2 linked regions of the Coturnix japonica genome follow. The protein of the gene in region 1 purifies or fractionates together with the protein of each later gene. This does not show direct contact. Links are inferred from orthologs where the notes say so. Each region holds a gene or a part of one and is shown on either strand. Other genes may lie near its edges.

The links. Proteins that work in one complex are often made in the same cells at the same time.
Region 2: the proteins of solute carrier family 22 member 5-like (region 1) and YIPF3 purify together in Homo sapiens (co-immunoprecipitation; 3 studies listed by BioGRID and IntAct, counting the BioPlex papers as one, with this or other methods). This does not show direct contact. The link is inferred for Coturnix japonica from reciprocal best matches to the Homo sapiens genes SLC22A5 and YIPF3.

Annotation. Positions count from the first base shown.
Region 1 is NC_029528.1:1,336,027-1,340,320, reverse strand, and holds the start of solute carrier family 22 member 5-like, read left to right. Parts: upstream 1-1,494; 5' UTR 1,495-1,689; coding exon 1,690-2,082; intron 2,083-4,294. UniProt on the Homo sapiens protein: Sodium-ion dependent, high affinity carnitine transporter. Involved in the active cellular uptake of carnitine. Transports one sodium ion with one molecule of carnitine.
Region 2 is NC_029518.1:27,800,330-27,804,422, forward strand, and holds the start of YIPF3 (protein YIPF3), read left to right. Parts: upstream 1-1,293; 5' UTR 1,294-1,341; coding exon 1,342-1,404; intron 1,405-1,474; coding exon 1,475-1,681; intron 1,682-1,755; coding exon 1,756-1,862; intron 1,863-1,943; coding exon 1,944-1,989; intron 1,990-2,578; coding exon 2,579-2,671; intron 2,672-3,012; coding exon 3,013-3,144; intron 3,145-3,648; coding exon 3,649-3,762; intron 3,763-4,093. Other genes in the region: POLR1C (DNA-directed RNA polymerases I and III subunit RPAC1), read right to left, coding at 1-9, 570-702, 794-901, 998-1,069, 1,143-1,211. UniProt on the Homo sapiens protein: Involved in the maintenance of the Golgi structure. May play a role in hematopoiesis.

The DNA of each region.
Region 1 (4,294 bases):
CTGAAAGGTAAACCTTTCTGAAAGGTAAATATTTTTATATTCTTGAACTTTGTAGTATCTTAAAACTAGATTCCATTTTATTATTATTATTTTTAAATAAGGAAGAGGATTGTGGGTTTTTTAAATACCTTGTTTTAATTGGTCTCGTTTTTCTTGCTTTTACCATTGATCAAAAGCTGGTGTCATATTTAAGTGTTTTTAATAGCAAATTAAAGAAACAGTGCAAGAGTGGAATGCATTGTTGCCAAGAATGTGATGTTCTTACATGGACTGAGTGTGTCTGAGCACAGTCAGAATGAGAAAATGAGATTGCTTCAGCTGATGAAGCACTTGCAAGGAGTATTTCTGTCCTCTGACTGTATCCTTCCCAGGCCAGAACAGGCATTTCTGAAGGAACTCAAAGAGAAACAACCTGCTGAAGAATCAGATGGGGATGAATCTGGAGGGCAGGAGTGCCAGATTCTGGCAAGTTACTAAATGTTTAGTTGTAAAGCTGAAGAAAACAGAATTGGCTTAGTAGCCATTGGCAGAAAGTAAGTGTATTTCTGATGAGAAACCTAAGGCTTTCACTGCGATCTTCAGTGAGTTTTGTGTGTCAGATGCTCGGTGGGGCTCACTGTGGGACCTGTGTGCTCACCCGAGCTGGGAGGTGCACATACAGCTCTGACCCGAAGATGGGGAAGCACAACTGGCTGGCTCCCACTGATAGCACTCAGCCTCAACTCTCCTCTATCACATTTACCTGGGTCTCTTTGTGTAACCTCTTATCATCGGTAAGATCTGACACTGGCTTATCAGATACCTTAAAGCAGGTATAAATACATAGTTGTCGTCACCTGGTAACTCCTGTCTTTAATGGAATAAAATGTGCACTAGCATTGTGTAACCTACTGTCTGTGTGGTTTGTAGTTGAAGAATAAAGTCTCCTAAATTTAACAAATTGTGTAAAAATGTTTAAAGAAGCAATTAAAAATGAACTTAACTCCCTGTGAGCAACCTGGACTTGACCATAGCAGCATTTCAGCCTCACCAGGCATTGACCACAACGATTTGGCCTTGCACCATGCACTGGGCTCTGATCACTGCAACCTTGATGCAGCTTCCTATCACTGCTGCTCTGAATCCCCGCAGCTCCAAGAGGTGTTCATATTTTGCTTTTAGTCCTCCTTAGATAGCAGTAATCATCCTCCTACACCGCCTCTGTCCCATGATGGTCACCAGTGGGATCTCCCTGCCTTTATAGACCAGCATATTTCCACCCTGTGTTCCCTTGGGAGTGGGGACTGAGCGGCACATCGGGGTAAAGGCAGCAGGGGAAAGCAGACTGTGCTGCTCAGTAGCTGTAGCTCCCTATGTAGTGACTGGAAACAGGCACACATCAGCCCACATTCGGCTCAGACCCCCGTTCTCGTTCATCCCGGCCCATCCCGCCCTACTCCCCGCCGAGCCTCCGCCGCGCCCCCGTGCCGCCCGCAGTGCACGCCGGGAGCTGCCGGCCGGGTTGATCCGGGCCGGGCCGGGCCGCAGCGCCCGGCCCCACCTGAGAGCCCTGAGCCCGCTGACCACACCCCCGGCCGCTCCCCCGCCGGCGAGGCCCGGCCCATGGCAAAGAGCTCGGCCGGCGGCTGGGCGGCTCGGGGCCGGCCGTTTCCTGCCCGTCGGTAGCGGCGGGCGCCGTTGGGCTGCGCCATGCGGGACTACGAGGAGGTGACCGCCTTCCTGGGCGAGTGGGGCCGCTTCCAGCGCCTCGTCTTCTTCCTGCTCAGCGCCAGCATCATCCCCAACGGCTTCAACGGGCTGTCCATCGTCTTCCTGGCCGGTACCCCCGAGCACCGCTGCGCTGTGCCCCCCGGAGCCAACCTGAGCGAGGAGTGGCGGAACGCCAGCATCCCGCTGGAGCTGCGCGGCGGACTGACGGGGCCGAGCCGCTGCCGCCGCTACCGCCTGGCCGTGCTCGCCAACCTGTCGGCGCTGGGGCTGCGGCCCGGCTCCGACGTGCAGCTGGCGGAGCTGGAGCAGGAGCCGTGCCTGGACGGCTGGGAGTACAGCCGCGATGTGTACCACTCCACCATCGTCACCGAGGTGAGGGGAGCAGCGGGGCTTCAAGCTGAGCCCGCGGTCAGGCTCGTTTGGTGGGTTCCACCTGCAGAGCCCGTGTGTCAGCCAGGAGCTGCCGGCAGGACACGCCGTCCGCGCTGTGCTGCCAAGGGAGTGTGTGTGGATCTCAGCACTGCTGTCCCGGGCCACTCTCGGTGGCCCTGAGTGCTCCTGCTTTATATCTGGCATGCTGCATTTAGTTTGAGATCTAAGCTAATCTCTTCTGTTTAACTCCACTCGTAAAAGCGGTCTCAAACTGCAGTGTCTCAGCTCGTGTGGCCTGTATACAATGCCTGCAATTCAGCAGGTATCTGCTGGAGGACCTTGGGGAACAAGGATCGGCCCGGGAACAACGGGCTCAGTTGGCTTTATTGTTGGTGGTTCAAGGATGTCTCTTTGAACTCACACATCAAAAGGGGTTGGTTTATTTTCTTTATAAAGGAGGCAGAAGTCATCCTGCAGGTGCGGCAGTTGGATGCAGCAGGGGAGTCCTGTTCTGTGCTGTGCCACACAGGACCCAGAATTTGCTGCCTATCAGCCTGACACCTGCTGTCCCTGTTCAGCTCAGCTGTGTCCTGCCAGCAGAGCTTCAGACCCAAGCAGCCAGTGAGGCTGAGGCTGTGCTGCTTGTCCTTGTGTCAGGTGCAAGCTGCACAGACCCACAGGCACTGGTTGCCTTAAGACACAAAGAACTATTTGGGTTCCAAACTGCAGATAGGACTTTTCAGAAGGCTTGTTAACCATTTGTACCATTCAATTTCCTGTCTGTACATGTGAGCAACCTTTGCAGAACTGTAGCAATGTTTTCTGCCCAGTGGCCTTTGTTCTTTGCTCTGCCAAACAGAGATGGATGTTTGTGCCTGCTCACAGCTCTGAGCACTGAAATCCATCTCTGGTGAAGGAACGAAGTGAAGAAGAGACCGTGGGAGAGATGCCCTGTTAGCACAGGGGAGCATGGGCATGGCAAAATGTGAATTGTGAAAGCTTCCTTTGAACATGCACAGACCTTAGGGCTTGGGTAGCTGCCACAAGGTGTTGCCTCACCTGTTTCTTAAAGAACTGCTTTCTTCACAAAGAGTAAAACTAGTACCTGGTCATCAGTGCAATGTATGGCTATGAAGGGCCGATGTGCTCTCAGGACAGCTTAAGGTGGTTGGCATCCTCTGTAATACAGCATTTTGCAGGTGAATGTGCTGGTTTTGTCTTGAGTGCCCCAGTACTACAGTGGCTGTCCTGGTTGAAGCGTGGTTTGTCGGCACATTTTTCTCCCAGCTTTGACTCAGTGCAAGTTACAGTGTCTGAACTGTCAGCGCATCTTCCAGAAGCTGTGAGATCCCTAAGGAGAAGGAGCTGCTGATGTTCAGCTACGACTGCAGCAGCTCTGCACAGTTAGGCAGGAGTTTTGTGTCTGGGGGAGGCAGCGTGTGGTTGCCCAGACTTCATGCACCAAGGCAGTATTTTATTCTCCCTTTAATATTAACGCCTTGGAGCCAGTTTTGCAAGAGCTGTGGCCTTTCACACACTTGCAGGTTTTCTCTGTTCAACGTGTTTAATTTGCTGGCTTGGTGTTGCTGTTTTCATGGTTGACTAATGCTGTGTTTGGTTGCATATCTCCAACTCGTTGAATAATCATGAGGACCTTTGTCCCACATTTCAGGAGCTGACACGGGGAGGGGGATGGGGCATTTTTTAAGAAAGGTTTTTCTACAAATCTCTCCTGACTCCAGGGAAAACCCTCCGCTCTGTTTCTGCTCTGCACGGGAGACGTAACACATTCAGCTCTGTCTCATGTGACGATAGGCTTCCCTTTTTCCCAGCAGACATACAGCACAACGGTAGCCGGTCTGCCCTATTTAACCTGTTCCTCCGGAGCAAAATCCCTTTTTCCTCCTTTGCTTTTGGATAGGCTGTATCACGAGGCATAAGGAAAGCATTGCTTTAGTCAAAGTAACCGTTCCTCCCTGAGTCCCATTAAAAAACAAAAGAGAATGTAATCAGAAGAGTTTGTGTGTAATATCATATAGGGTAATTCAGGGGAAAGTCCAACTTCCTCTCCCAGTCCTGTGTGTGAATGCCTGGTATCTGCTGTGGGATCGAACTGAGCAGTGACTTAGGGCATTAATAGCATAGAGGAATCACATCATTAGTATACATTTGATGATGAAAACAGTTTGTGAGAATTCTTATGTACTCCCAT
Region 2 (4,093 bases), on another chromosome or scaffold:
CTTCATCTCCTGGAAATGGCAAAACAGTATCTTTATGGAAGTGAATTCTGCTTTGTTGAAGTGTATCCAGGGGAGGGACACATGAATGACCCAGTGATGGAACATCTCTCCTACGAGGATGGGTTGAGAGCTGGGGCTGCTCAGCCTAGAGAAGAGAAAGCTGCAGGGAGACCTGGAAGCGGCCTTTCTGCACCTAGGAAGAGCATGCAAGAAAGAAAGGGACAGACTCTACAGCAGGGTCTGCTGTGATAGGAGAAGGGGAAACGGTTTGAGGCTTAAAGAGGGTAGATTTACTTTAGAGATAAAGAAAAAGTCTATTACTGAGTGAGAGTGGTGAAAATGAGGGTGGTGAGGCACTGGAACAGGCTGCCCAGAGATGCGGCTGATGCCCTGTCCTTGCAGACTTACAAGGCCAGGCTGGGCAGGACTCTGAGCACCTGGTCAGATGTAGGAGTCCCTGTATGTTGTGGGATCGTTGGACCTGATGGCCTTCATGATCCTACGGTGTGACCCCAGCTCCTGGTTATGGGCTCCACCCTCCCCACCGCTGTTCGACCCGAGCCCCTCACCTTGATTCCTGTACTCAAAGAGCCGCGGGTCGGCCCGGATGGGGATAAGGCCCAGTCGGTGCGCCAGGATCTCGTCCTGCACGATGGACGTGTTGTTGTACACAAACACCTTTTCCACAGCCATGGTCGGCACCTCGGGGGGACGACAGAGCGAGGCGATAAGCCGCCAAGCAGGGCACCGCACGGGGACCATCCACTCGTCATGTCTCCCAGCCCCGCGGTACCTCAGCGAGCAGGATGCGGCGGAACGCGTTGGCGATGGCCGCGTCGATGCCCACCATGTCGAACTCGAGCACGCCGTCCTCCTCCCGCACCACGTCCACGCGGAACCCCTGCTCGGGAACCGCGCCGCGTCACGACGGAGCCGAACAAGGGGCCCCGCAGCAGCAGCTCCATCAGCTCCATCATCTCCATCAGCTCCCACTCACCTCCTCGAAGCGCCGCTGGTCCCACGCGTCGTCGTACCCGGGGTAGTTGCCTGGGAAGTCAGTGGTGTGGACCTGCGGGGGGCGCAGCCCGTGAGGCAGCGGGGGGTGATGCGGGAGCCGCCCCGCGTCCCGCCGCCCCACGCACGTTGCGGACGCCGAACTCGCCCAGCACCACGCGCTCCCGCATCTCGTCCGTGCCGCGCCGGGCCGCCATCGCCGACGGAAGGACGCGCCGCCGCCCCGCCCCGCCGCACGTAAGGCGGCCATGCGGAACTGACGGCTCTCGCGAGACACGGAGCGGCCGGACCGTCACATCCGCGTTGCCGTCCCCCGTTACCGGCGCTATGGCCGCGGCGGGCGGCAGGAGCGGCACCGCCGAGTGGGGCGGCTTTGAGGACAACGTGCAGGTGGGGCCGGCCCGCGGGGGGGGGGACAGAGGGGCCCGAGCGGGCGCTGACGATCCGTGCATCGGAGCAGGGCGGCGGCTCGGCCGTCATCGACATGGAGAACATGGACGACACGTCGGGCTCCAGCTTCGAGGACATGGGGGAGATGCACCAGCGCATGAAGGAGGAGGAGGACGAGGAGGCGGAGGGCGAGGCGGGGGCCGGCGGGGAAGAGGACGGCGAGTTCCTGGGCATGAAGGGGCTGCAGGGGCAGCTGGGCCGGCAGGTGGCCGACCAGGTGAGTGGGCTCACGAGCCGCCAACAGCCCCGCCGGCCCCGGCCCCGCCGCTGCACGTACCGTTCTGTCCGCAGATGTGGCAGGTGGGGAAGCGACAGGCGTCCAAAGCGTTCAGCCTCTACGCCAACATCGACATCCTGCGGCCATACTTCGACGTGGAGCCCGTCCAAGTGCGCACCAGGTGGGCAGGGCAGCGGGTGCACGGGATCTGTTGCTTCTTAATGACTGTCCTGATGTCGTTCCCCGCTGTGCCGTAATGCAGGTTGCTGGAGTCCATGGTGCCCGTCAAGATGATCAGTTTCCCACAGGTGAGTTCTCTCTCACTGAACCAGACCCCACAGCCTGAGTGACTGTTCCACAGAGACCCCTCAGATGTAATTAGCCTGTTATTAAGGATCCAAGTCTGTTAGATGTTCACCTCCCTCAAAGTATCAGTAAACCCTTTCCTATGGTTGTTCCAAACCCCATTCTCATAGAATTGTAATCATAGAACATCCTGAGTTGGAAGGGACTCATAAGGCTCACCTGGCTCCATACAGCACCACCCATAAATCAGACCATATAGCTGAGATCATTGTCCGGATGCTTCTTCAACTCCAGCCAGCTCACTGCTGTGACCGCTGCCCTGCACAGCCTGTGCCAGCGCTGCCTTTACCTTCCTGCTACCCTTAACGCTGGTACAGTTGTAGAACTCTAGACCTCACTTTGCCCATTTCTGCATCCTGTTGAACACCACTCTGACTCATCACAGTCTGTTCTGTGTGGCTTCTGTCAGCAGTGGCCTTGCAGATGCTCCTCGGGTGATAAAAGTCTCCAAGATGCTCGTTATGTCTCTCAGGGTGGAGAGCCTGGAAGACAGGAGCACTAACTAAGCCTCATCTCTCTCTTTACATGTAGAAGATTGCAGGTGAGCTTTACGGACCCCTCATGCTGGTCTTCACGCTGGTGGCCATCCTGTTGCATGGGATGAAGACCTCGGACACTATCATTGTATGGCGAGTCTCAGTGATTCATTTGTGCTTTGACCGGGTTTGGGATTGCTATAATGACACTGGAAAGGGAGAGGAAACCTCTTCTGTATCACAAGAGCTGAAAAGCAGATTTGATCTGAGGAAGATCCTTTTGGTTTTGGAGAGGGGAGGAAAGTTGCATCAGAAAGTCCCAATGCTCTGTAGCTGGGAGAGATGGGGTGTAGGTCGTGGGGCAACCTGCCTGCTGTTAAGCCAGCTGTTTGTATACATGTATGAAAGGCTCTGGGTGCTCTGCAGTGAAACTCAGGTGCTGGCAGGCCCTTGCTCTGAGTTCTCTCTGTCCTGCTGCTGTCTCCACAGAGGGAAGGCACACTGATGGGCACAGCCATTGGCACCTGCTTTGGTTACTGGTTGGGAGTCTCCTCTTTCATCTATTTCCTGGCATATCTGTGCAATGCCCAAATCACGATGGTGCAGATGCTGTCGCTGTTGGTATGTACGGATGGGGCTGCCCCAGGATGGATGCTGGCTGCGTGGTGTTCCAGAGGGGAGGGTAACCTGTGAGCTCTTCCCAGAGAGCTGGAAACATCTTTGTAAATGAGTGGTCCCAGATGACCATAACCTTGTTGCACAGGGACAACTTGGAATCCGGGATGATCTTTGGACCTGATCTGTCCCAGACACAGAGATGGCACAGAGCAGCTGTTAGTGCTTGCAAGTTTCCTCTTGGGGAGATTCTCATTTTTCTGGGATCAGAGGCTTTTTTCCTTGCATTTCCTAGATTGATGCAATCTCCAACAGTCCTGTGAATCCTTCTGACAGATGAGCTGGGTGTGAGCTCCTGTTAAATCTGTTGTGCTGGTTGACATTCTAGCACGGAGTGTGCAGTCTGCAAAGTAGTGCCTTGCTGAAACATTGCAAGCATTGGCTGTTTGTTGCTCAACAACCTTTTGTGTGCAAGTGACAACTGTAACATGGATGTGTTTGTTTTGCCAGGGCTATGGCCTTTTTGGACACTGCATCACTCTGCTTGTCACCTATAATATCCACTTCCATTCCCTCTTCTATGTTTTCTGGTTAGTCGTTGGTGGACTCTCTACACTGCGAATGGTAAGTGACTGGCAGCCCAGAGGGAAGTGTTTCTTGCTTTCTGTTCCTTGGGCCAGTCAAGTGATTCCACAGCTGGGTAGGGTGCTTAAAGAAAGCCTGATGCTTCTGGGCCATTTGGCTATTAGTGTGTGGCCTGGCTTACTGTCCTCACCCATTCTAACAGCTGCAGGAAGCCTGCTGTCTTATGTCCCCCGCTGCTCCAGAGATACTTGCTGAGCCCCCTTAACACTGAGTGAAACTGGGCAAGATTCATCTACCCAAAACAGTCAGATTTCCTAGTGCCAACTGTGAGGAAGGCTCTGAGCAGTGTTCCCACTGGCTCTCTGCTTAG